Macaca fascicularis: one gene and its partners. The protein of the gene in region 6 interacts with the protein of the main gene of each other region in a pairwise test. Links are inferred from orthologs where the notes say so. Each region holds a gene or a part of one and is shown on either strand. Other genes may lie near its edges. The genes, in order: ZNF24, HNRNPF, ATXN1, HNRNPUL1, ZCCHC10 and DZIP3.

Evidence for each region.
Region 1: the proteins of DZIP3 (region 6) and ZNF24 interact in binary tests that used the Homo sapiens proteins (3 or more experiments, as listed by UniProt). The link is inferred for Macaca fascicularis from reciprocal best matches to the Homo sapiens genes DZIP3 and ZNF24.
Region 2: the proteins of DZIP3 (region 6) and HNRNPF interact in binary tests that used the Homo sapiens proteins (3 or more experiments, as listed by UniProt). The two-hybrid records come from large-scale screens. The link is inferred for Macaca fascicularis from reciprocal best matches to the Homo sapiens genes DZIP3 and HNRNPF.
Region 3: the proteins of DZIP3 (region 6) and ATXN1 interact in binary tests that used the Homo sapiens proteins (3 or more experiments, as listed by UniProt). The link is inferred for Macaca fascicularis from reciprocal best matches to the Homo sapiens genes DZIP3 and ATXN1.
Region 4: the proteins of DZIP3 (region 6) and HNRNPUL1 interact in binary tests that used the Homo sapiens proteins (3 or more experiments, as listed by UniProt). The link is inferred for Macaca fascicularis from reciprocal best matches to the Homo sapiens genes DZIP3 and HNRNPUL1.
Region 5: the proteins of DZIP3 (region 6) and ZCCHC10 interact in binary tests that used the Homo sapiens proteins (3 or more experiments, as listed by UniProt). The link is inferred for Macaca fascicularis from reciprocal best matches to the Homo sapiens genes DZIP3 and ZCCHC10.

Annotation. Positions count from the first base shown.
Region 1 is NC_088392.1:54,500,749-54,505,044, forward strand, and holds the start of ZNF24 (zinc finger protein 24), read left to right. Parts: upstream 1-1,496; 5' UTR 1,497-1,593; exon of another isoform or gene 1,594-2,198; intron 2,199-3,485; exon of another isoform or gene 3,486-4,296. UniProt on the Homo sapiens protein: Transcription factor required for myelination of differentiated oligodendrocytes. Required for the conversion of oligodendrocytes from the premyelinating to the myelinating state.
Region 2 is NC_088383.1:52,687,173-52,691,395, forward strand, and holds the start of HNRNPF (heterogeneous nuclear ribonucleoprotein F), read right to left. Parts: upstream 2,801-4,223; 5' UTR 2,746-2,800; exon of another isoform or gene 2,341-2,745; intron 1,393-2,340; exon of another isoform or gene 1,326-1,392; intron 1-1,325.
Region 3 is NC_088378.1:156,606,963-156,610,462, forward strand, and holds part of ATXN1 (ataxin 1), read left to right. Parts: coding exon 1-326; 3' UTR 327-3,500. UniProt on the Homo sapiens protein: Chromatin-binding factor that repress Notch signaling in the absence of Notch intracellular domain by acting as a CBF1 corepressor. Binds to the HEY promoter and might assist, along with NCOR2, RBPJ-mediated repression. Binds RNA in vitro.
Region 4 is NC_088393.1:48,413,676-48,417,175, forward strand, and holds part of HNRNPUL1 (heterogeneous nuclear ribonucleoprotein U-like protein 1), read left to right. Parts: intron 1-975; coding exon 976-1,049; intron 1,050-2,794; coding exon 2,795-2,934; intron 2,935-3,500.
Region 5 is NC_088380.1:139,543,285-139,547,243, forward strand, and holds the start of ZCCHC10 (zinc finger CCHC domain-containing protein 10), read right to left. Parts: upstream 2,801-3,959; 5' UTR 2,789-2,800; coding exon 2,748-2,788; exon of another isoform or gene 2,744-2,747; intron 1-2,743.
Region 6 is NC_088376.1:174,503,227-174,507,357, reverse strand, and holds the start of DZIP3 (E3 ubiquitin-protein ligase DZIP3), read left to right. Parts: upstream 1-1,331; 5' UTR 1,332-1,904; exon of another isoform or gene 1,905-1,943; intron 1,944-4,131. Other genes in the region: protein CIP2A, read right to left, coding at 1,113-1,214. UniProt on the Homo sapiens protein: E3 Ubiquitin ligase proteins mediate ubiquitination and subsequent proteasomal degradation of target proteins.

The DNA of each region.
Region 1 (4,296 bases), on a different chromosome or scaffold from region 6:
AAACAAAAATGACTTCAGCTAGCCTTTATGAATCAGAAAAGAGGGAAAAGTTGGGAAGAGCAGCCAAGCTGCTTGGGGGCCGTATCCAAGTAGCAGAGTGAAAAGGCTGGATTTCTGAAGCTTCCTGCAATGAAGAGAGAAGTGTTAGCACGGGTTGTGAGAAAGGCTCTGGTCGGAGTGAAAAGCAATGGTATACCATCAGCTGCTGGCTTACTTGCTGTCTTCATGCACGAACCCAGCAGAGCCTGACGGCACTTTGCAGAGGGCATTTTCCCGAATGAGGCAAAAAGTCAAAGCCTGAGGAACTTGAAATGCTTATGTTAGGTTGGATCTACACTTTTGACCAGTCCTTAAACAACAGGGCTCCTTTGTGTGGTGTCTGATGCCAATCATGTGACCTAACTAAAGGCAGCGATGTAACCATCCCACAATTCATTTATTTATTCAACAAACATTTATTGTGTTCTCTATTTACCAGGCAGTCAGCTTCCGGGGTCTAGGCTGGGATGCTGTGGTGAACAAGACAGTCAAGGTCCCTGCCCTTAAGGGACTTAAAGGCAAAACAAAACAAAAAACAAGTAAATAAATGAGATCACTTCCATTAATAATAGTGCCATGAAGGGTCATGTGTCATGAAAGGCTGGCGGTGAGGCTGAGGATCTTGGGCCACACGGAGCTGAAGAGCTGAGGTGACTGGGGGCGCCAGGGTCTGGGGGTGCGGGCAGGCAACAGACCATGGGGGACTTACAAGACATTATAAGGAGTTTTTATGTCATAAATTATTATGGCATAAATTGGAGGGCTTTAAATAGGGGAGTGAAGTGGTCTGATTTGTAATAAATGATTGCGTCAGCAGCTGTTTTATGGTATAAAATGCCCAGCTTGAAGATGACCATGCATTCTACAAATTCACCGTGACATCGTTGCCAAAACCCTTAACCTGTCTCATCTAGTTTTCCTGACAAATAGGTCAGAATAAAGCTCCGTGACATAACTAGTGGGAGCCAAAGATTTGAATCACGTCTTGGTTTCAAATCTTGCTACCCACAAATGAGTTGTGAGCTCTTGTCAAGTTACTTACTGTATTTGTGCCTCAACTATCTCAGCTGTGAAATGGGGATAATGAAAGTTCCTACATCATTTATTTGTGAAAAAATAAATGACATGTAAAGCACGACGAGAGCGCCTGGCACAATGTAGTAAGCTTTCACAAATACTCGCTTTTATTCCTTCTTGCAGGGAATTACTTAGAGGATCCACAAGATAATGCACGTGAAAGGGCTTGCGAAACTGTAAGGACTATCTTAATGGTAGAGTCCTCTACTTTTCTTTTAAACGGTCCAGAGGACGCTAGGCTGTTCGAGGCGCGAGGCCAAGCGCAGCCTCAATGCGGTCATTGTCGTGGGGCCGCCCCTCCCCCGCCCGGGGAGCTTCTCCATGGCAACGTGGGCTTTACCTCTCCCCGCCTCCTCAGGCCCGCAGACCGGAAGCAGCCCGTGCCGGGGGCTTCTGGGAAAAGGCTTGTGAACGGTGTTTCTGCGTCTGCCGTGGACAGCGAAGCTGCTGCGGTTCCTGAGCCAGAGGTTTGCGCCGGTGTGCGGGGAACGTTATGGGAGGGAGGGGGACACCGGGCTAGGGTCTGCGGACCTCTTAGCAGGAGTCGGCGGGGAAGCCTTCCCGGGACCTTCCTCAGCTTCCCGGGAGGCGCGGGGAATAGGCCGCGCTCTCCGCGCCTAGCAGTTGTGGGGCGGGGAGAGGTAGGCGGCAGGCTTGCTTGGGTCTTCGGCGTCTGCAGAGTGCTCTCTAACCCCCGGTGTCCTCCGAGACCCTCACCTTCCCCCTCCCCCACCGGCCGGTTTTGTTCTATTTCGAGGCCCTGGCGTCTCGCGGAGGGTTCTGGGAGTCGTGTTGGGAGGAGGTGGTATGGGGCGAGACTTGCGCGGGGCTGTTGGGATTTGTAGTCCCACCGGCCGCAGGCGGAAGTGCCGTGGTTCCGACGCTGTTGTCACAGGGTGGTCTTTGGTCATGTGAAATCCGCTGTCCTGAGTGCTGGGAAGAGGGGCTAGAGGACTGGCCGGGATCGGGGTACACAGCAGGTCTATGCAGCAGTAAGGTGGGCGATCACCTGGAACGAGGTGCTCTGACCAAACATTGTCGGGACCGTTGGCCTTCCCTCCATTTCCCACAAGCAGTATGCTCTACAGCATGAAAGGAAGAGAAATATATGTAGAAATAGTTGCACCGTTGATAAGCAGGGTCTTGGAATAGGCACAAATCAATGTTGGCTAGACCTTATTTATAAGGCCACCACACTCCAGGGTATTTAATTAAACCAGTATGTATTACTTGTCTGATAAGGCCTTTTCTGATTCCAGTCTTCATCTTGCTTGGGTTACGATAAGTTTTTTTAAGTTGTTGTTCATAGGCTGCATGGCTCATTGCTAGTATGTGTCGTAAACAACAGCACGGGCATGATAGTGCAAATAATAAAGGTCCAGAAACAGCATACAGTTTCCCTGAAGGTAGAACTGGGGAAACTGTGAGTCATCCAGTGTAAGGACAAGACACTGGACCACTGCAAGAAGTTAAGGTGCTAATGCGAGTGCCTTTTCTTAATAGAATTTTCTGTGATTAATGCCTATCATTATAAATATAAATGTACGTATGGTGTGGTGGAAGACTGAATATTTACGTATTATGTGCAAGATAATTTTTCAAAATATGTGATCTGTTTTTCACATATGATCTTTTCAATATTATGTGATCTGTTACTCAGCAAGTGAACATTTTTTCCACATATATTTTAAGTCCAAGGAGTTCTTAAATACCTTATTTTTTAAGTGGTAAAATTTTTTTAAGCACATAATAATAAAGCAAACCTTCGTTTTGGTTGAAACAGGGTTTCACTATGTTGGCCAGGATAGTCTCGATCTCTTGACCTCGTGATCCGTCCGCCTCAGCCTCCCAAAGTGCTGGGATTACAGGTGTGAGCCACTGCGCCAGGCCCAGCTTTTTGCTATTTTTAAATTCATTTTTTAGAGACAGGGTCTCACTCTGTTGCCCAGGCTGGAATGCAGTGGTGCGATCATAGCTCAGTGGAGCCTTGAACTCCTGGTCTTTAGTGATCCTCCTGCCTCAGCCTCCTATAGTGCTGGGATTACAGATGTGAACCACTGCACCTAGCCAGTTTTTATTTTTTTTTCCTTTTGGAACTTTTTTTGTTAAAAACTAAGACAAACACATGCATTAGCTTAGGCTTACACAGGGTCTGGATTATCAATATCATTGCCTTCTGCCTCCCTATCTTGTCCCACTGGAAGGTTTTCAGTAGCAGTAACGTGCATGGAGCTGTCATCTCTGTGATAACAGTGCCTTCTATAATAGCTCCTGAAGGACCTGCCTGAGGCCATTTTGCAGTTAACTTTTTTTTTAATAAGTAGAAGGAGCACACTCTAAAATGTATAGTATGAAAAGTATAGTAAATACATAAACAAGTAACATAGTCGTTTATTGTTGTTATCAAGTTTTATGTACCATACATAACTGTATGTGTTAAACTGGCAACACAACAGGTTTGTTTACACCACCATCACCACAAACATGTGAATAATGCATTAACCTTACAACAGCTACAGTGTCACTAGGTGAATCTTGAATTGTTCAGCTCCATTATAATCTTATGAGAGCACTGTCATCTATGTGGTCCTTCATTGACCGGTCCTTCATTGACCCAAACATCATTTTTTTGTTTGTTTTTTTTTTTTTTTGAGACTGAGTCTCACTCTGTCGCCCAGGCTGGAGTGCTGTGGCCGGATCTCAGCTCACTGCAAGCTCCGCCTCCCGGGTTCCCGCCATTCTCCTGCCTCAGCCTCCCAAGTAGCTGGGACTACAGGGGCCCGCCACCTCGCCCGGCTAGTTTTTTGTATTTTTTAGTAAAGACGGAGTTTCACCGTGTTAGCCAGGATGGCCTCGATCTCCTGACCTTGTGATCCGCCCGTCTCGGCCTCTCAAAGTGCTGGGATTACAGGCTTGAGCCACCGCGCCCGGCCTCCAAACATCATTTTGTAGTGCATGACTGTGTTGGGTTTTTTTTAGGCCATCTAGTCTGTTGAAACTACTCAACTCTGCTATTGTAGCGTGAAGTATGAGTAAGTACAATTTTTTATGGACACATTCATGTTAATTTCGTATCATTTTCACTTGTCATGAGGTATTCATTTGACTTTGGGGAGCTCCATTCCCTAAATATCATTAGGTATTCATTTGATTTTAGAGAGCTCCATTCCCTAAGGCACT
Region 2 (4,223 bases), on a different chromosome or scaffold from region 6:
GCTCACGCCTGTAATCCCAGCACTTTGGGAGGCAGAGGCGTGAGAATCGCTTGAACACAAAAGTTTGAAAATCAATCTGGGCAACACAAGGAGACCCCATCTCTACAAAAAATACAAAAATTTGCCAGGCGTGCTGGAGAATGCCCGTGGTCCCAGATACTCGGCGGCTGAGGTGGGAGGACCCCTTGAGCACAGGAGGATCTCGGCAGCGAGCCGAGATCACACCATTGCACTCCAGCCTGGGCAACAAAGTGAGACCCTGTCTCAAAAAATAATATATATAATATATATATCATTTTATAGAGACGGGGTCGGTCTCTGACGCCCAAGCGATTCTCCCACACCTCGGCCTCCCTAAATGCTGGGATTACAGGCGTGAGCCACCTCGCCCGGCCGGCAGTGACTCTAATCTACAGAATGCACACCGGAATGTAATACCTACAAGGCAAAAGATCTTTTTGCTTAGGAATAAAGCAATCTCTCTCTTTACATTCATTAAAGTAGTAATGTCTTATTTTATAAATTCTGTAAAAGCAACGAGTCACTTTTCAGGGATAGCACTTAAGATATCTTTCACCTACCTAGAGAACCCAATGAATTTTTATCTTACTAGGAATTCAGAGACAACCACGTATCTAACTTTTAAAAATATAAGTAGAAAGAATTATATGTGTATATTTTTGGAAGAATTAAGATGACTTTTTGAAAGGAACGACTGAAGACAACACTTTCAGAACTCCCTGCCGCCTGAGGCTGTGGCCCTGACCCCGGCGCAGCGCCCGCCCCGCGCGGTTCCGGGAAGCCGCCGTCGCCGCCCGTTGCCCTCCGCGCGCAGCCGCCAGCGCGCGCCTCCTGTCCCGCCACGCAGATGGCCGGCCCGAGCCCCCAGCGCCCGCAAGCAGTTTCGAAAACTAAAGAGGCGCGTTAGCTCGTCCCCGGGCCGCTCGGAGACCGAAAAGCCGCAGCGAAGGGCGCCCCGCGGGCAATGGCCGAGCTCGGCTCTCCTTCCACCCTCCAGCCGGGACACACGCGGAGCCGAGCGGGGATCCCAGGCACCTAGCGGGAGGGGTCCCCGCGACCTGGGCGGTCTGGCGGGGAGGGCGAGTCGGGTGCCCTGCTCCTCAAAACCCTGGTCCACGACTCTGCGGTTGGGGGAGCGGGGCAGCCGGCGCAGCAGGAGCCGGGCCCCGTCCTCAAGTTTCCTAGGAGCAGGGCGGAATCGACGAAAATGCTTCATACACACAAGCAGAAGGGAAAAAAAAAAAGACGACTAAGCCGAAGAGCGCGCACGAGTCAGATTTTCACCCCAGATACAAACACGGTACCTCTAGGAGCAGGAGACCAACACAGAGACCGCGCTACGAGGACACGCGGCGCCGCCGAGGAAGAAAATGGGCCCAGGGCAGAGAGCTAAGGCTCCGGGAACCGGGCGTGGGAGGAGGGCGGAGCCAACTCCCCACAAGGAAGTCTTGTGCAACTCTCAGGCGCCTACAGCCACGTGAGCGCGCGGCTTTCATTTTATTCAGGTATTATTACTACTGTTATTACTTCTGAGACAAGGTCTCACTCCCATCGGCCAGGCTGGAATGCAGTGGCACAGTCACTGTCACTGCAGCCTTGACCTCCTCAGAGCAAGCAACTCTCCCGCCTCAGCCTCTCGAGTAGCTGGGACAACAGGCGCGCGCCACCACACGTGGCTTTCTTTTTTTTTTTTTTAACTTTTTAGCAAAGACAGTTTCACTATGTTGCCCAGGCTTGTCGGGAACTCTTGGGCTCAAGAGATCCTCCCGGCTGGGCCTCCCACTGAGCCAGGCCTGTTCTCACTTTCAGAGCCCTCCGGTGGTCGCCAGCGCCCGACCAGGAGGCTGAACTAACGCACCGGCCGGCCGTGTCTTCCCGGCAGCCCCTGACTCCAAAATCTCAGCCCGCGGTGCTCACCGCGTGGGACCACTATCTGGGCGTGCGGCTCTCGACCTCCGACACTGCGTCTCCCGATCCCAGGGGGTCCAGTTCTCGCCGGTCCCACGTACCGGCCCCTCGACCTCGAATCCGTCCCCCAAATCTCAGCGCCGCGGCCCCTCATTATGTGCAGTCCTCGATCGGTCCCAGATGCGTGGCGCTTAAACTCAGATCTCTCCTCCCTGATCCCAAATCCCAGCCCCAGCCCCACCCACCCCAATAGGCCCAAACCCCAGGTAGTCCGGGTACGGGGCCCTGGACTTCGGAAGGTCTCCCCAATCTCAAATCCCAGGCCCACTGTCCACACCCCCAGGGGGACCCGGTCCCCGCTCGGTCACGGGTGTGCGGCCTTCGACGTCGGAGACTTCGGCCACCCCTCACCTCGGCCTCCGAGTCTCTACGCTCCCGCTCTCACATCAGGCACCCCGGTGGTCCCTCGGAGCACCTAGAGGAGGGTGGGACGCGGGGAACTTGGCAGTTGTAGCAGAGGCAGTTGAGGCTTGTTGACCATCACCATGGAAACCCCCGGCTGCGAGCACGGGGCGGGGCCTACGAGGGGCGGGGTCAGGCGCGCTGCCGGCCCCAGTCCTTAGCGCCTGCCCGACGAGAGCACGCGGCTTTGCCGGAAGCCCTCCTGCTCCCGGCGTGCCAGGCCCCGACTCGGCCCTACTCCCCGGCTCGGCCCTTTGCCCTGAGCACCCGGAAACAGAAGCCCAAGGAGCCCGCGTCCCCACCCCGCTGCTACCTGCCGGCGTGACAGCGATTCAGTGCCACCCCGAACCCCACCTTAAGGAAGACGCGGCGCAGTCCTGCTTCCACGACGGAGCCGGAAGGACGCAAGGACCGCGGTAGGGCGGAGCTTCTGCGTCTTGCACCCGGGGGCGGGGCCGCGACGGCGCTACTGTGACGCGCCCAGAGCGGAGCTACCGGTTGGCCGGCCGGGCGCGGAGCTGAGCCGACACTGGGGGCGGGGGTGTGGGGGAGGCGGCGGAGGCAGACTAGCGAGGACGTTTCTGGAGAGGAGAAGGGAGGGGTGGGGAGGGGATGGGGGGGAGGAGAAGGGAGGGGTGGGGAGGGGATGGGGGAGGAGGAGGAGGAGGAAGTGGAGCGGCGGGAAAGATCCCTCTGACTGCCCCTGAGGCCCTGGAGGAAGGCCACTGGTAAGCCCCGCAGGACACTGAAATGTGCGCTCAAAGGACTCCTGATTTGAAGACTAGGATGGGAAAAGGAAATGAGAACCATGGCAGGCCGTGGTGGCGCAAGCCTGTGGTCCCAGTAATTTGGGAGGCTAAGGCGGGAGAATCGCTTGAGCCCGGGAGGTCGAGGCTGCAGTGATCCGTGACTGCTCCACTGCGTCCAGCCTGGGCGACAGAGCGAGAGGCTGTCTCAAAAAATAAAATAAGGAAAGAAGTACACTGAGGGCCGGGCGCAATGGCTCACGCCTGTAATCCCACCACTTTGGGAGGCCGAGGCGGACGTATCACGCGGTGAGGAGAGCGAGACCATCCTGGCCAACATGGTGAAACCCCGTTTCTACTAAAATACAAAAAATTAGCCGGGCGTGGTGGCGCGCGCCTGTAGTCCCAGCTACTCGGGTGGCTGAGGCAGGGGAATCGCTTGAACCCGGGAGGCGGAGGTTGCGTGAGCCGTGATGGCACCACTGCACTCCAGCCTGGCGACAGAGCGAGACTGCGTCTCAAAAAAAAAAAAAAAAAAAAAAAAAAAGTACGCTGAGTACTCCAGAGATCGCTTAAAGGCGTCTCAGAGCGGGGCAAGCGTTAGGAGGGATTTGTCAGGTCGAAGTTGCTCACGTGGTAATTCCGTGGTGTGAGAAGCCCCCAAACCTCAGAATGTAACTCAGACCCAGGTCGAGGGCAAGGTTTTCAGTCACAGAGCACCTGAACACAGAGATTTGGTGGCTAATGGCTAAGCCAGGGACAGATTTTTTTTTTTTTTTCTCACGCTTTGTAAGGCTAATAATTATAATCATTTCATTTTGGTGGACCTTCTTCATGAAGAGATGATGTCAAGGCACTCATCACAGGTTAAGCTGAACATTATTACTATTACTATTTCCAGACTGGGTCTCTCTCTGTCAGTCAGGCTGGAGTGCAGTGGGTACAATCACGGCTCACTGCAGCCTCGACCTCCTGGGCTCAAGCAATCCTCCTGCCTCAACCTCCTGAGTAGCACCACCACTATTGGCTCAATTTTGTATTTTTTTTTTTTTTGAGACCGAGTGTTGCTCTGTCACCCAGGCTGGA
Region 3 (3,500 bases), on a different chromosome or scaffold from region 6:
TGAAGCACTCAAAGGCCGACGGCCTGGCGGGCAGCAGACACAGGTATGCCGAGCAGGAAAACGGAATCAACCAGGGGAGTGCCCAGATGCTCTCTGAGAATGGCGAACTGAAGTTTCCAGAGAAAATGGGATTGCCTGCAGCGCCCTTCCTCACCAAAATAGAACCCAGCAAGCCCGCGGCCACGAGGAAGAGGAGGTGGTCGGCGCCGGAGAGCCGCAAACTGGAGAAGTCAGAAGACGAACCACCTTTGACTCTTCCTAAGCCTTCTCTAATTCCTCAGGAGGTTAAGATTTGCATTGAAGGCCGGTCTAATGTAGGCAAGTAGAGGCAGCGTGGGGGAAAGGAAACGTGGCTCTCCCTTATCATTTGTATCCAGATTACTGTACTGTAGGCTAAATAACACAGTATTTACATGTTATCCTCTTATTTTAGGTTTCTGTTCTAACCTTGTCATTAGAGTTACAGCAGGTGTGTCGCAGGAGACTGGTGCATATGCTTTTTCCACGAGTGTCTGTCAGTGAGCGGGCGGGAGGAAGGGCACAGCAGGAGCGGTCAGGGCTCCACGCATCCCCGGGGAAGAAAGGAACCGGGCTCCACAGCGCCTGCTTTCTGTAGCGGCCCAGAAGCAGCCAGGGGCGCTGACTCCCGCTAGTGTCAGGAGAAAAGTCCCGTGGGAAGGGTCCTGCAGGGGTGCAGGGGTGCATGCATGTGGGGGTGCACAGGTGCTGTGGCGGCGAGTGAGGGTCTCTTTTTCTCTGCCTCCCTCTGCCTCACTCTCTTGCTATCGGCATGGGACGGGGTGTTCAGAGCAGTGTCCTCCTGGGGTTCCCATGTGCAAAATCAACATCAGGAACCCAGCTTCAGGGCATCGCGGAGGCGCGTCAGACGGCAGATTTGGAAAGTTAACCATTTAAAAGAACATTTTTCTCTCCAACCTGTTTTACAATAAAAGCAACTTTTAATTGTATAGATATATATTTCCCCCTATGGGGCCTGACTGCACTGATATATTTTTTTTTTTAAAGAGCAACTGCCACATGCGGGATTTCATTTCTGCTTTTTACTAGTGCAGCGATGTCACCGGGGTGTTGTGGTGGACAGGGAAGCCCCTGCTGTCATGGCCCCACATGGGGTAAGGGGGGTTGGGGGTGGGGGCGGGGGAGAGAGCGAACACCCACGCTGGTTTCTGTGCAGTGTTAGGTAAACCAATCAGGTTATTGCATTGACTTCACTCCCAAGAGGTAGATGCAAACTGCCCTTCAGTGAGAGCCACAGAAGCTCTTCACGTTGAGTTTGCAAAATCTTTTTGTCTTTGAACTCTAGTACTGTTTATAGTTCATGACTATGGACAACTCGGGTGCCACTTTTTTTTTTTTTCAGATTCCAGTGTGACATGAGGAATTAGATTTTGAAGATGAGCATATATTACTATCTTTAAGCATTTAAAAATACTGTTCACACTTTATTACCAAGCATCTTGGTCTCTCATTCAACAAGTACTGTATCTCACTTTAAACTCTTTGGGGAAAAACAAAAAACAAAAAAACAAAAAAAACTAAGTTGCTTTCTTTTTTTCAACACTGTAACTACATTTCAGCTCTGCAGAATTGCTGAAGAGCAAGATATTGAAAGTTTCAATGTGGTTTAAAGGGATGAATGTGAATTATGAACTAGTATGTGACAATAAATGACCACCAAGTACTACCTGACGGGAGGCACTTTTCACTTTGATGTCTGAGAATCAGTTCAAGGCATATGCAGAGTTGGCAGAGAAACTGAGAGAAAAGGGATGGAGAAGAGAATACTCATTTTTGTCCAGTGTTTTTCTTTTTAAGATGAACTTTTAAAGAACCTTGCGATTTGCACATATTGAGTTTATAATTTGTGTGATATTCCTGCAGTTTTTATCCAATAACATTGTGGGAAAGGTTTGGGGGACTGAACGAGCATAAATAAATGTAGCAAAATTTCTTTCTAACCTGCCTAAACTCTAGGCCATTTTATAAGGTTATGTTCCTTTGAAAATTCATTTTGGTCTTTTTACCACATCTGTCACAAAAAGCCAGGTCTTAGCAGGCTCTTAGAAACTCTGAGAATTTTCTTCAGATTCATTGAGAGAGTTTTCCATAAAGACATTTATATATGTGAGCAAGATTTTGTTTTAAACAATTATTTTATTATTGTTGTTATTAATGTTATTTTCAGAATGACTTTTTTTTTTTCTATTCAAAATCAAATCAAGATTTAATGTTTGGTACAAACCCAGAAAGGGTATTTCATAGTTTTTAAACCTTTCATTCCCAGAGATCTGAAATATCATTTGTGGGTTTTGAATGCATCTTTAAAGTGCTTTAAAAAAACAGTTTTATAAGTAGGGAGAAATTTTTAAATATTCTTACTTGGATGGCTGCAACTAACCTAAACAAATACCTGATTTTTCTTTTACCCCATTGAAAATAGTACTTCCTTCATTTCACAAATTAAAAAAAAAAAAATCTGGTATCAACCCACATTTTGGCTGTCTAGTATTCATTTACATTTAAGGCTCACCAGGACTAATGATTTTTGTAAACCATTTTCTGGGGTGTACCAAAAACATTTGAATAGGTTTAGAATAGCTAGAATAGTTTCTTGACTTTCCTCGAATTTCATTACCCTCTCAGCATGCTTGCAGAGAGCTGGGTGGGTTCATTCTTGCAGTCATACTGCTTATTTAGTGCTGTATTTTTTAAACGTTTCTGTTCAGAGAACTTGCTTAATCTTCCATATATTCTGCTCAGGGCACTTGCAATTATTAGGTTTTGTTTTTTCTTTTTGTTTTTTAACCTTTGATGGTAAGAGGAATACGGGCTGCCACATAGACTTTGTTCTCATTAGTATCACTATTTACAACTCATGTGGACTCAGAAAAACACACACCACCTTTTGGCTTACTTCGAGTATTGAACTGACTGGATCCACTAAACCAACACTAAGATGGGAAAACACACGTGGTTTGGAGCAATAGGAACATCATCATAATTTTTGTGGTTCTATTTCAGGTATAGGAATTATAAAATAATTGGTTCTTTCTAAACACTTGTCCCATTTCATTCTCTTGCTTTTTTAGCATGTGCAATACTTTCTGTGCCAATAGAGTCTGACCAGTGTGCTATATAGTTAAAGCTCATTCCTTTTTGGCTTTTTCCTTATTTGGTTGGTCTTTCCCATTCTGGCCAGAGCAGGGCTGGAGGGAAGGAGCCAGGAGGGAGAGAGCTTCCCACCTTTCCCCGGCTGCGGATGCTGAGTGCTGGGGCGGGGAGCCTTCAGGAGCCCCGCGTCTGCCGCCACGTTGCAGAAAGAGCCAGCCAAGGAGACCTGGGGGAGGAGCCGCAGTGTCCCCTGTCACCACACGGAATAGTGAATGTGGAGTGTGGAGAGGAAGGAGGCAGATTCATTTCTAAGACGCACTCTGGAGCCATGTAGCCTGGAGTTAACCCATTTTCCACGGTCTTTTCTG
Region 4 (3,500 bases), on a different chromosome or scaffold from region 6:
GCCACAGAGCAGAGGCCTAGAAGCTACTTGCTGATGGAGAGCAGAGGAAGAACACTCGCTCTGATCCTGGGCTGGCAGGGAAAGTTTCGTAGAATGGACTTAACATGTGATGAGCACAGACTCATAAGATGAGTCTCATGAGTCTCCTTCATGAGTGGGACACTGGGCAAGTCATTCTGCTTCTCTGAGCTGCTCTTCAGGAAAGAGACTCATCTGTGTTAGCCCTGGCCTGGCGAGGCCAGAGGGGCCCTCCACCAGAGGGAAGGCTGCTGCTGGGAGAGTCAGCAGCCAAATGGGCATGGGCTCCCCATCTGTGCATGCAGTGCACTGTGACCACCCAGACTGTCCAGGCAGGACCCTGAGTGTTAGTTAGACTCTACCTTTCTACCCTTCTTCCTCATTCCTGTACAGCAGAAACCAACAGTGTTAAGTCCCTTTTTTAGTGTTTTGGTAGGAAAATGAATATCATTTATAATTTAGGACACTGAAAAAAATGGGTCATCTCAAATTCTCTCAGATGTAGGATTTTAAGAAGCCTGGTACATGGATAGATAGTAATTATTGGGATTTATCTAGGCTCTTGCACATGCCCCTTCCTGGACAGCACCCTTTTGAGATACCACAGCCTCCAAACAGTAACGGAGATCAGTGTGGAAGTGGTTGTCAACATGCAGAGGGTATGGATTAGAATCTTAGGGTGTAAAAAAAGAGCAAAAAAGTTCCCTAAATGATTCTGATGCCCCCTTCAGCAGAGCATGCCCTCTCCAATCCCTGTCTCCACCCTAGGAGTTGATGGTCATTGCTCTCATTGCAAGGATGTATGGTTCCAGAGTTCTTTTGCCCACTTCTGTGGGAAGAAATGGAGATTCAGGAAGCAGTCTGGAGGCCACTTGTAGATTATAGCAGAACATTCATTTTCTTTCCTTTGTGCTCATGTATTGTTCTTGTGTGACTTAACCCCCGTTTCTAACACAGGGGCCGCTCTCCTCAGCCTCCTGCTGAAGAGGATGAAGATGACTTTGATGATACCCTTGTTGCTATTGACACCTGTAAGTCTTTGGAGTGCCCATCTAATTCTGCCTTTTAGTCAGTATGGGGAAATTGTGTCTTGACCTTCACCAGAATCCCTGCCTGGCACCGTCCAAAGACATTGTTAGTCCACATGTGACACACAGCTTAGCTCTGGAGCAAGAGTCCTGGTTTGGAGGCAGAAGACCTACTCCCAACTCTAGCAGTGGGACCCTGGGCAAGTCATTCTACTTCTCTGAGCTTCCCTTCAGTTAATTCTGCCGTAATAACCTCAGAGGACTTTCAGGGAGACTCCTCAGTGGATACAGGAGCAATTTGGAAAACCCTGAACTGCCCTGTACACACAGAGGTTGTCATCTAATCAGGAAGGGAATCTGAGTGCTGCTGGGGAAACTTAACTCTTTTGACAACTAGTTCCCGTTTCCATCAGCTGCTCACGTTCTTGGTGAAACCAATGTCACTGTGTCCTCTGAGGCACAAACCTGGCCCACCCTGCTGTCTGTCCTCCACTTCAGCTTTCTTTCCACTGGATAAGTGGCTTTCACCTTTGCTGCGCATCTGAGCATTTGGAGGATTTCTTATAAAGGTCCTTTTCCTCAGACCTCCTAGTCAGAGTCTAATGAAGAGCCTGTGAATCTGAATTTTTATATGCACCCAGAAGCCCAGTCAGGTCTGAGAACACTGCACTTCTCAACAGAGCAGAAGATAAGCAGCAATTTATTCATCTATTTCTACAGAAGCTTATGTTTATAAAGCACTGGCTACATGCTTCTGTAAGAGATAAAGATATATACGGTCTCTAATATCGCAAGCTCTCAAAGACAAAATCTACCCAGAGTAGAGGTAAACATTGTTTAAAAAGTGTTGGGGGGCAGTGGTTCATGAGGCAGTGTCTGATGAAATGGAAATGTACCGACCACAGTGGTCAGCCTTCAGAGAAAGGAGAGTGCCTCATGGGAGGGATGGTCAGGAAAGGCTTTCTTGGAGGCATGACTGGTTGCTTGAATATTGAGAAGGGTAAGAGCAACAGTAGGAAAATCCTAGGCCTATGAGAGGAATTAGGAGCCTATGGGGCACCTGGGCATTGGTTCCTGGGTGGCAGGTGTGGATCAGGGTCAGATCCCTGTATAGCTGTTGGAAACAGAAGTCTGGTTCCCAACTTGATAGAATTAGCACAGAGGGCGGAATATATGGTGGTGGTGATCAACCTTTTTGTATTCTAAAATCTAGTTTGAGTCTGGGCAACATGGCAAAACCCTGTCTACGAAGAATATAAAAATCACCCGGGCATGGTGGCATATCCCTGTAGTCCCAGCTACTCAGGAGGCTGCAGTGGGAGGATGGCTTAAGCCCCCAAGATGTGTTCACTTGTGTACTCCTGGTCAGCACTTGGGGAACTTCCCTCTGCCTGTTTCTTAGGACTTTTGAAACATCAACCAGGTCGGGCATGGTGGCTCACGCCTGTAATCCCAGCATTTTGGGAGGCTGAGGCGGGCAGATCATCTGAGGTCAGGAGTTCGAGACCAGCCTGGCCAACATGGAGAAACCCTGTCTTTACTAAAAAATACAAAATTAGTCAGGTGTGGTGGTACATGCCTGTAATCCCAGCTACTCAGGAGGCTGAGGCAAGAGAATCGCTTGAACCTGGGAGGCAGAGGTTGGGGTGAGCCAAGATCACATCATTGCACTCCAGCCTGGGCAAAAAGAGCGAAACTCCGTCTCAACAAAACAAAAACATGAACCAACTGGGCTTTTTCCTTCACAGATAACTGCGACCTCCACTTCAAAGTGGCCCGAGATCGGAGTAGTGGCTATCCGCTCACAATTGAGGGCTTTGCCTACCTGTGGTCAGGAGCCCGTGCCAGCTATGGGGTCAGAAGGGGCCGTGTGTGCTTCGAGATGAAGGTGAGTAGGAACAAGAGAAGGGGAAGGTCAGAGAGGTCCGTCCATTGTAATATCCTGACACCAGCCACCTTGGTCAGAGCTACAACTGGAAAAGAGACTGGATCGTGCAATACTGTGTCCAAGCAGACAAAACTGTGATGAACTCAAGAGAACTACATCATTGCTAAATATCATATCAGAAAAGCAGGCCAACCATACATTGCTTCATCAAGCAGATATTTCCTTGGTGAGAGTTGACCCAGGTATTGTATAGTCAACCAGTGTAGTGATGACATGTTTGTAGAACTGAGAAAATACGTTGTTTGGAAGAAAAGTGATCTAGAAAGAATAGACTCAGGTGTCACTTAGTAAAGGGAGGCCAGAGGGAAAACAGGGCAAAGAACTGCCAGCTTAGGCCAGCATCTGCTGTGATCTCTGCACCGTTCCATGTCAAGTTATGTTTATGAAAATAATACATGCTCATGTTTAACAAAAGTTTAGACAGCACAGAAGAGTACAGGATAAAACAGGTTATTCTCGCCGGGTGCGGTGGCTTACGCCTGTAATCCCAGCGCTTTGGGAGGCTG
Region 5 (3,959 bases), on a different chromosome or scaffold from region 6:
GATGAATATAAAATGAAAAGTAAAGGCTCCTCTCCTGCTTTCCCCCCAAATACATTCCCCAAACTCTCTTGGACTTCGCAAGCCTCTAAAGGCCCTCCTTTGCTGAATCCCTTGGAGACTTACACTCTGTGTAAGTCTGTCCGGAGCTGCACGCCCCGGCCATAGCGAATAATAATTAAAGATTAAACGCCTGAGCTATATTCATTTCCACCCCACACCTTCTCCCTAGATTTACCTTCTTCCCTGTATTAATACCGCCATTAAAAGATGGCGCTCTTCCTGCTTCTTCTTCATTCATTTTTCCCACACCCGCGAAAAGACTACCTGACTGCGCAGGCGCAACATGACGTCCGACCGGAGAAACCGAAGCCTATCTGGCCACACCTTCCGCAATGAGGTCATTTCCGCCTTAGCCCAACCCCTTCCCCTCCAAATGTATATAAGGCATTGCATTACCACCATTAAACGAGACTTGATCAGAGCACTGTCTTGTCTCCATTTCTCCTGTCTCTTGTTCCCCAAATTCCCACCCCCTCCTCCAGGGACTGCTCTGACTATCCCGTGGGCCGGGATACGTGGCGCCCAACGTGGGGCAGTATACCACAACGGTTTTTACAGTATGCCACATGTTTGCTTCCCAACAGGACCAAAAGCTCCTTAAAGGTAAGATTTGTCTTTTACAAATCATGTAACTCATGTACCAAATACAGACACATTGTAGATATAAAACATTTAACTTTTGATACTTCTGAAACAATAAATAGCAGTATTATTCAGATGCTAAGTCTTATTTTCACTTCATATTTAAAGTGGACATTAGTTTTGCCAATCCTGCATTCATTTACCTCCTCTGACCTATCTACCCTGGTTATCATTGGCTTATGGTCATCCATTCAGTTGTACTGAAAGGAGAATAAGATCTCTAAATCAATCAGATATTCACAATCCCACAGGCATAGTTTAACATTGGGCATGTAATCCAATCTAGACCAAAGAAGTACAATCAACTTGAAGCTGAGAGAATATAAAGGACCCTGGATACTGCAGCCATCTTGGGAGCAAAGAATAGAGCCTATTCAAATATGGAGCCAACAACCAAAGAGCAAGTGTGAGAGACAGACAGGGAGAAACGGAACCTGGTGACATCATTTAGCACTCCCTTTAAGTATTATCATCCCATTTTTGATCTCAGAATTGTCTGACTTAATGGTAGGCACAGTGGCTCATGCCTGTAATCCCGGCACTTTGGGCGGCTAAGGTGGGATCACTTGAGATAAGGAGTTCGAGACCAGCCTGACCAACATAGTGAAACCCCGTCTCTACTAAAAATACAAAAATTAGCAGGGCATAGTGGTGGGCACCTGTAGTTCCAGCTACTCGGGAGGCTGAGGCAGGATAATCATTTGAACCAGGGAGGCAGAGGTTGCAGTGAGCCAAGATCACACCACTGCATTCCAGCCTGGGCAACAGAGTGAGACTCGGTCTCAAAAAAAGAACCGTCTGACTTCAAGCCTTCTTTCTTCACCAAGCTTACTACTCTAACTCCCTAAGTCTGTCTGTACATTTGAGGAACTCTTCTTATCAGGCCTGAAAGTGTAGATGGAAAGGAAAAGAGAAAAAAAGGGATTATTTGAATTAAAAATATATAAAAAGATATAAATACACATATATATACTAGCAGACTTTGAGCTATATATGGACATGAAAATGGAGATGGCATGAAATATTTTATGAAAAAGAGGCAGATGTTTGGATGTGCAAAGGCTGTGCAAAAGCTTTATAAGAAAGGGCATCTGGGGTGACCCTTGCATTATTTGTCAGGTGTGAATCTCTTCTGCCACTCTCTCTTATTCATTAGGCGTAATGGCCATCTTTCAGTTCTTTAAAAAGTAAGTTTCAGCCTCAAAGCAATTATGCCACTATCCGGATGCTCTTTCTCCAAATCCTCTTATGACTGTTAATTTTTCACCCTTTAAATCTCTGTTCAAATTCCACCTCTTCAGAGATGCCTTTTCAGTCCAACCAACCTAAAGTGGGCCTTTCTCTCTTTCCATCACAACAGTTTGTTTCCTTCAAAGCTGTTATCACCAGCTGTATTTACATTTAGTAGTTTATCGACTGTTTCCATCACTAGAATGTAAGCTCTCTGAAAGCAAGGATTTTTGTCCTAAAAAACACCTCTTTTTCTTTATACCCAATGTCTGGCACAGAACGGTAGGTACTAGATAAATTAATATTTATTGAAAGAATGAGTACCAAAAAGTGATAAGATAGCTTGGGAGGGCAGTCGGCATTGTAGGCAGGATTCCTAGGGAAGGCGCTAGAATAAGGAAGTAGGAAAAGGCAGCAGGGATGGACGCTAAATAGGAAACTGAAGGTTTACGTCGGCCGGCATAAAGGTGTCGGACCGGGGCTTCAGGGCTCCCTTGTCGACGCGTGGGGTTGGCGGAGGGGCATAAATCACTGAGTGACCAACTGTGGGCGTTCCCTTCAGAGAAACCAAACGCGACAGTTGTCTTCAAACCCCGCTCTGTCCCGTGCCGCAGACTTTACACGGCTGTCTTCCGTGAAATCGCTAACCCACGGTCACCAGACTTATCGCTCGGGCCCGAGCCCCTCGGGAGCCAGAAGCGTGTTTGAGAAACAGACATTCTCCGCCGGTCCCAACAGGGGTCCGACACTAGCCCGTTGACGCGCGTTTCACCGCTCCCAGCCCGCCGGTGGGCCCGAACCGGATCCTTACTTACGCTTGCCTCCGAGCTATGAGCCGATGCATGGGAGTCGCCATCTTAGCGCGGTCAAAGCCGGCCGCGCAGGGTTTTGGGAAACTCCTCGGAAGGGCGGGGCTTCCAACCGGCAGGCCGTAGACGTAGGCGAGGCCAGACAGGCCTCTAGGGGTTCTGGGGCAGCCTCCGCGGCAGGATCTCAGTGCCGGCTCGGGAGGGGAGGGAGGGGAGGGAGGGGAGGGAGGGGAGGGAGGGGAGGGGAGGGAGGGGAGGGAGGGGAAGGAGGGGAAGGGAGGGGATGGAGGGGAGGGGAAGGGAGGGGATGGAGGGTCGGAAGAGGAGGGGAGGGGAGGGGCTGGTGGATCGGGAGGGGCCGGTGTCTCCAGTGTGGGTCTCGGGTTCTCTGGCGGAACCGGGTTTCAAAGGATGATTACAGGCAAGAACATTATCTGTGGAAAATGAGGACCACATTCTCGAACGAGGGATACACATACAAAGACAAAGAATGAAACTGTGGTGTTCAGAAACTTAGAAGTAGTCTGGAGAATAGAAAGGAATTAGTTGACCAGCAATTGAAAGAATGACTTTAGCAAGCCATAGAGTGCAAACATACACGTTATTTCTGTTTTGTATGTATTTCACAGGGTTGTTACAAGTACTAAATGGGACTGTGTAAAGCTGCTTTGTCAAGCAGAAAAGGACTATACAAATATTTTACAATATTTTAGCTGCACCTACATCTAATGTCAGCTCACGGAGCTATTATTCTCTTAAAACACGTTCTCTGAAATATATATAACTTTCTGAAGTGTATGTGTGTGTGTGTTTCCGGGTCATCCATATTTTTTCCTTTTTTTTTTTTTCCATTTGAGACAGAGTCTCGCTGTGTCGCCAGGCTGGAGTGCAGTGGCGCCACCTTGGCTCAGTGCAACCTCCAGGTCCCTGGTTCAAGAGATTCTCTTGCCTCAGCCTCCCGAGTAACTGGGATCACAGGCACACACCACTATGCCCAGCTAATTTTTGTGTTTTTACTAGGGACGAGGTTTCACCATGTTGGCCAGGATTTTCTCGATCTCCTGACCTCATAATCCGCCCGCCTCAGCCTCCTAAAGTGTTGGGGTTACAGGCTTGAGCCATCGCGCCCAGCCATATGTTTTCAATTAATAATTAACACTTAAAATGTTTTAGGAGCTGAGGACAGAGCATTTGAACAAATAAAATCCGTGTACACAT
Region 6 (4,131 bases):
ACTGACGGCCCTGCTTATTCTGCGGCTTCTGGAGTCTATGCTAATTCAGAAGCAAAGCCTTAAGCATTTAATAGCTAACATCTTAATTATTAGGTTTGCAGATACTTCCTAAGTAATGAATGAAAAAGAGAAAACAAATGTACTTAGGAGATGGGCACGTGAAGTAGGGAGAAGAGGAGCACCAGTGAAGCTCAACAAAGACAGACACATTTAATACCACAGCAGATTCACTAACACCTGCTGTTGCTCTACTACTTGAAATCATTTTTTTTTCTGTAATATTTTACAAATCTTTGTCACATTAGTCTTTTGTCATAGGGTTAATATAACAAATACAATATATTTTAAAATTATGTTCAATTCTGTCTTAACAGAAGAAAGCCGTGACACAGAGAGTTAAAATAAGCCTTAACTCAGCTTTAAAAAAATTAAACTGAGGTCAATGTTAGTCTGAATTCCGTAAATGCAAAACAAATGACAGCAGAAGATTAAGATCCTAAAACAAATGGTATCGTCTGAACACATATCACTAGAACTAACAGAAAAAAAGGCAATTCAGCATTCTAGGATTAAAAAACTGTGAGCAATGTATTTTGGTAAAGAAAAAGGATTACGCTTACTAGGAAGGGGAACTGCTTCTTAAGGTTGAAGTAATGTTTTTCAAGTTTGAGTTCAACCCGAGTTCAAATAAGAGCAGGAAGCAACAAATTCAATTATAGATTACCGAAGAGCAAAACCAAGTTTTAATCATGACTTTCCGTCACTGAGAATAGCTGTGTATTGAGGGCTTGGTTTCGTAGAAAAACCAAAACTAGAAACAAAGGAAAAGATAAAGCTCCGAGCTTTTTCCGTTACCTACTCGAAACACAGCCTAAACTTCCCAACCTTTTGCCCCACTCCCACTTTTCCTAGAGCCTTCAGTGGGCGCTCTTGCCTCTCGCTGCGGCCGGCGGAACCCCGACACTCACTCGCCTTTACCAGTACGAAAAGACAACAGACGGATCGAAGGACCGTCCTTTCTTTCCCAGGCTGAGGCCGCCACTCCTCGGCCTCACTGTGAACTAAGAATTACTAGGGAAGCCCCATCTGTCCTCCACCCCAGAGCCTCTCACCTCCAAATGCCGCAAAAGCTGAGTGGCGTTCGCCTCTGACTTCACGGCTTTGTACTGACTGATAGTCAGGAGCAAGGACTTCAAGCAGGCAGTAGAGTCCATCGCACCGGCCGCGGCCCGGCTTGCGGACTACCACCTCTCAGCCTGCGCCGGCCTTTAGCTTTCGCCGCGCTTTTTTTGAGTTTTTTCGGTCCCACCCCCTCGCTCCCAGAAGCTTCCGGATCCGGTCGGGCTCCGGAAGAACCTAGGCACTCTGGGGGACCGTTCTCGGTGACTGCCGGGGTGGGCCAGGGGTCGAGGTGTTGTGTGGGTCCGGGACGGGGGTTGGGAGCTGCCCCTGCTAACCCACCCTCGTCTGAGAGGCCGCGAGGTTTCGCCTTGAGATCCCGTGAAGGCGAGAAATCTCGCGATTTCTCGGGAGAGGAATCGGTTAGGCGAAGTGGATTCCTCGTTCAGCTGTGCGCTCTGTTTTCGTGCGCTTCCTCGTCCTTCATGCTGGATGGCCAGTTTTTCCTTTGTGCGTCATCCTCTACCTGAGAAATGGTCGCTTGCCCCTAGTCTAGACACGGTGAGGAGCTCTGAGGAGAAGAATCTTTGGGCCCTAGATTTTGAGGCGGCCTGGGAGGGGCCTCGTTTTTAAATCTCTCCTCCACCCGCCCCTTCTGCCCGGGGATGGTAGTTTCTCAGAGTCAACCTATGGACGTTGGCATTATGTGGCAAATTAGTCATGCCCTGACCATAGTATTTGTCACATTTATTCGAGAAGGCTACCTCCTGCTGACCCTGGGCCAGGTATTGCTCCGGAGGGTGTTTTCGTTAGCGTCAGTTTTTGTAAGTGAAGGTGTTTGTTTCTCTCTGGCATGATTGATTGTTTTATAATTCTCAATGTCTACGAAAATGGCACTATTATTTGCGTTTTTTTGATCGGAGATAACTTAATATTATTGCATGTGTATATAATGAAGCGAGTCAGTTACTGGTTTTGGAGGTTTTTGCTTGATATTTCCTGACGTCGAATAAAGCTTTAAAAACCGGAATGTAGAAATTTTTAGAATAGGGTACATTTCCATTTAATTAAATCGTTTTTTAGAAATCATGTTTTTTCACTTCAAAAAGCATTTTGTGAATTACTAGATTTTTGAAGACAGGTTTGGTGTTTTAGTTTTGTTTTTTATAAAAAAAGTTTAAAACGAAATCTGAAAGGTAAAAATGATTTAACCAGTTGGGACTTTCATGTAAAAATCTTTGGGCAGCTTATGTGTTCATTCATGCTTTCATTCATTCCGTAGACAATTATAGAGCGTGTAACATGGGTTAGAAACTGCCAGTCAGGGCACAGAGATGAAGATAGTATCCCCCTGCTGCGAGGGAACTGTTTAGTAAGGGAAACATAGAAAAAAGTATTTTTGAAATTCACCACATAAATGAGAGGCACCACGCAGTAACATGCAGCAATGGTGAAGAGTAGAGAGCCAGGTTGCTTACAGATTCTAGCTCCGCCTTTGACGCTGTGACTGTAGGCAAGCTCTCACTGCTTCAGAATCTTCTTTAGGTAAAATCTGGCCAAGAGAAATACCTGTTTCGTAGGACTGTGCATTCATTGAGAATCTACAATGTGCTAAGCACTTTTCTAGACACAATAGATTCAGTGAATAAGACAAAAATACTACTGGCATGCAACTTACATTCTGGTAGGGAACCAAATAATAAGCACAATAAATAAGGAAAATGATATAAAGAGGAAAATAGACGTTATTACTCTAGAATAATGTTGGTAATTGATAAGGGAAATGGGGAGGTCAGGATAGACCTTATTAAGAAAGCAACATCTGGGGAAGTGCTTCAAGGAGTTGAGAAAGGGAGCCGTATTCTATGGGAAAACGTTTTTAGACAGGAAATGGCAGAGGAAGAACCTAGAGTGGGTCACTGTGTGCCAGGAACAACAAGGATGCCATGTGGCTAGTGTAGAAAGAACGAGGAGGAGAGGAGTAGAGATGAGGTCCTATACAGTCTTGGAGATGGTTAAAAAATGAATTAATATTAAGTGTCAGCTGTCATCTGGCATAATTAAGTTCTCAGTGTTACAGTCAGTGGCTCATTGGCAAATGATCAGAGTTTGATAGTGTTAGACTTTTCATCTGTACTGACAAGAGTGTCAGCACCATCCCCATTCAGAACCCCAGTGTAATGCTCAAAGTTGCCTGCTATCAGTGCCATCTTTGTTGGATTTTGACTTAAGCAGTCATACAAATTTTGCATTCTCTTCTGTATTTAATATCAAATGTCTTTCTCAAAAAATCTTCACCAAAATTGATGTTGTAAGTTTAGTAAGATGTACCGTTTCTAGCTGTGATAAGTCTTGACATTTTTAATCAGAGATACTTGCATATCCTAATTTGAAAAACACTGATCCATACTTTTAGGCCTCAAAAAGGGAAGAAAAGGAAGAGGAGGCCAGGAGCAGTGCCTCATGCCTTTAATTTCCAGCTTTTTGGGAGGTTGAGGCAGAAAGACCTTGAGCCCAGGAATTGGAGACTAGCCTAGGCAACATAGTGAAACCCCATCTCTACAAAAAATGAAAAAATTAGCTGGGCATGGTTGTGCTCAATTGTAGTCCTGGCTACTCTGGAGGCTGAGGTTGGGGGATCACTTGAGGCTGCAGTGAGCTGTGATTGTGCCACTGCACTGTAGCCTGGGTGGCAGAGTGAGATCCTGTCAAACAAAACAAAACAAAAAAAACAGATGAGTCTAGGTCCCGATGACCAAAGGCCTTAGTATCCTTAAACTTGGACTCCATCCTGTAGTCCATGGCAATCTCTGATTTTAAACTGGCACCTTGTCTAGTCAGGTTTGTTTTTAGGTTGATTACTCTGGCAGCTAAATGAAATATGATTTTGGGGATAAGACTGGAAAGAGGGACACTAATTTTCTGGAGCTTTCTAAAGGATAACCAGGATAATTGAGGTGGAGATAGAAAAGAGGTGACAAATTTGAGAAATATGTATGAGGTAAAATAGGT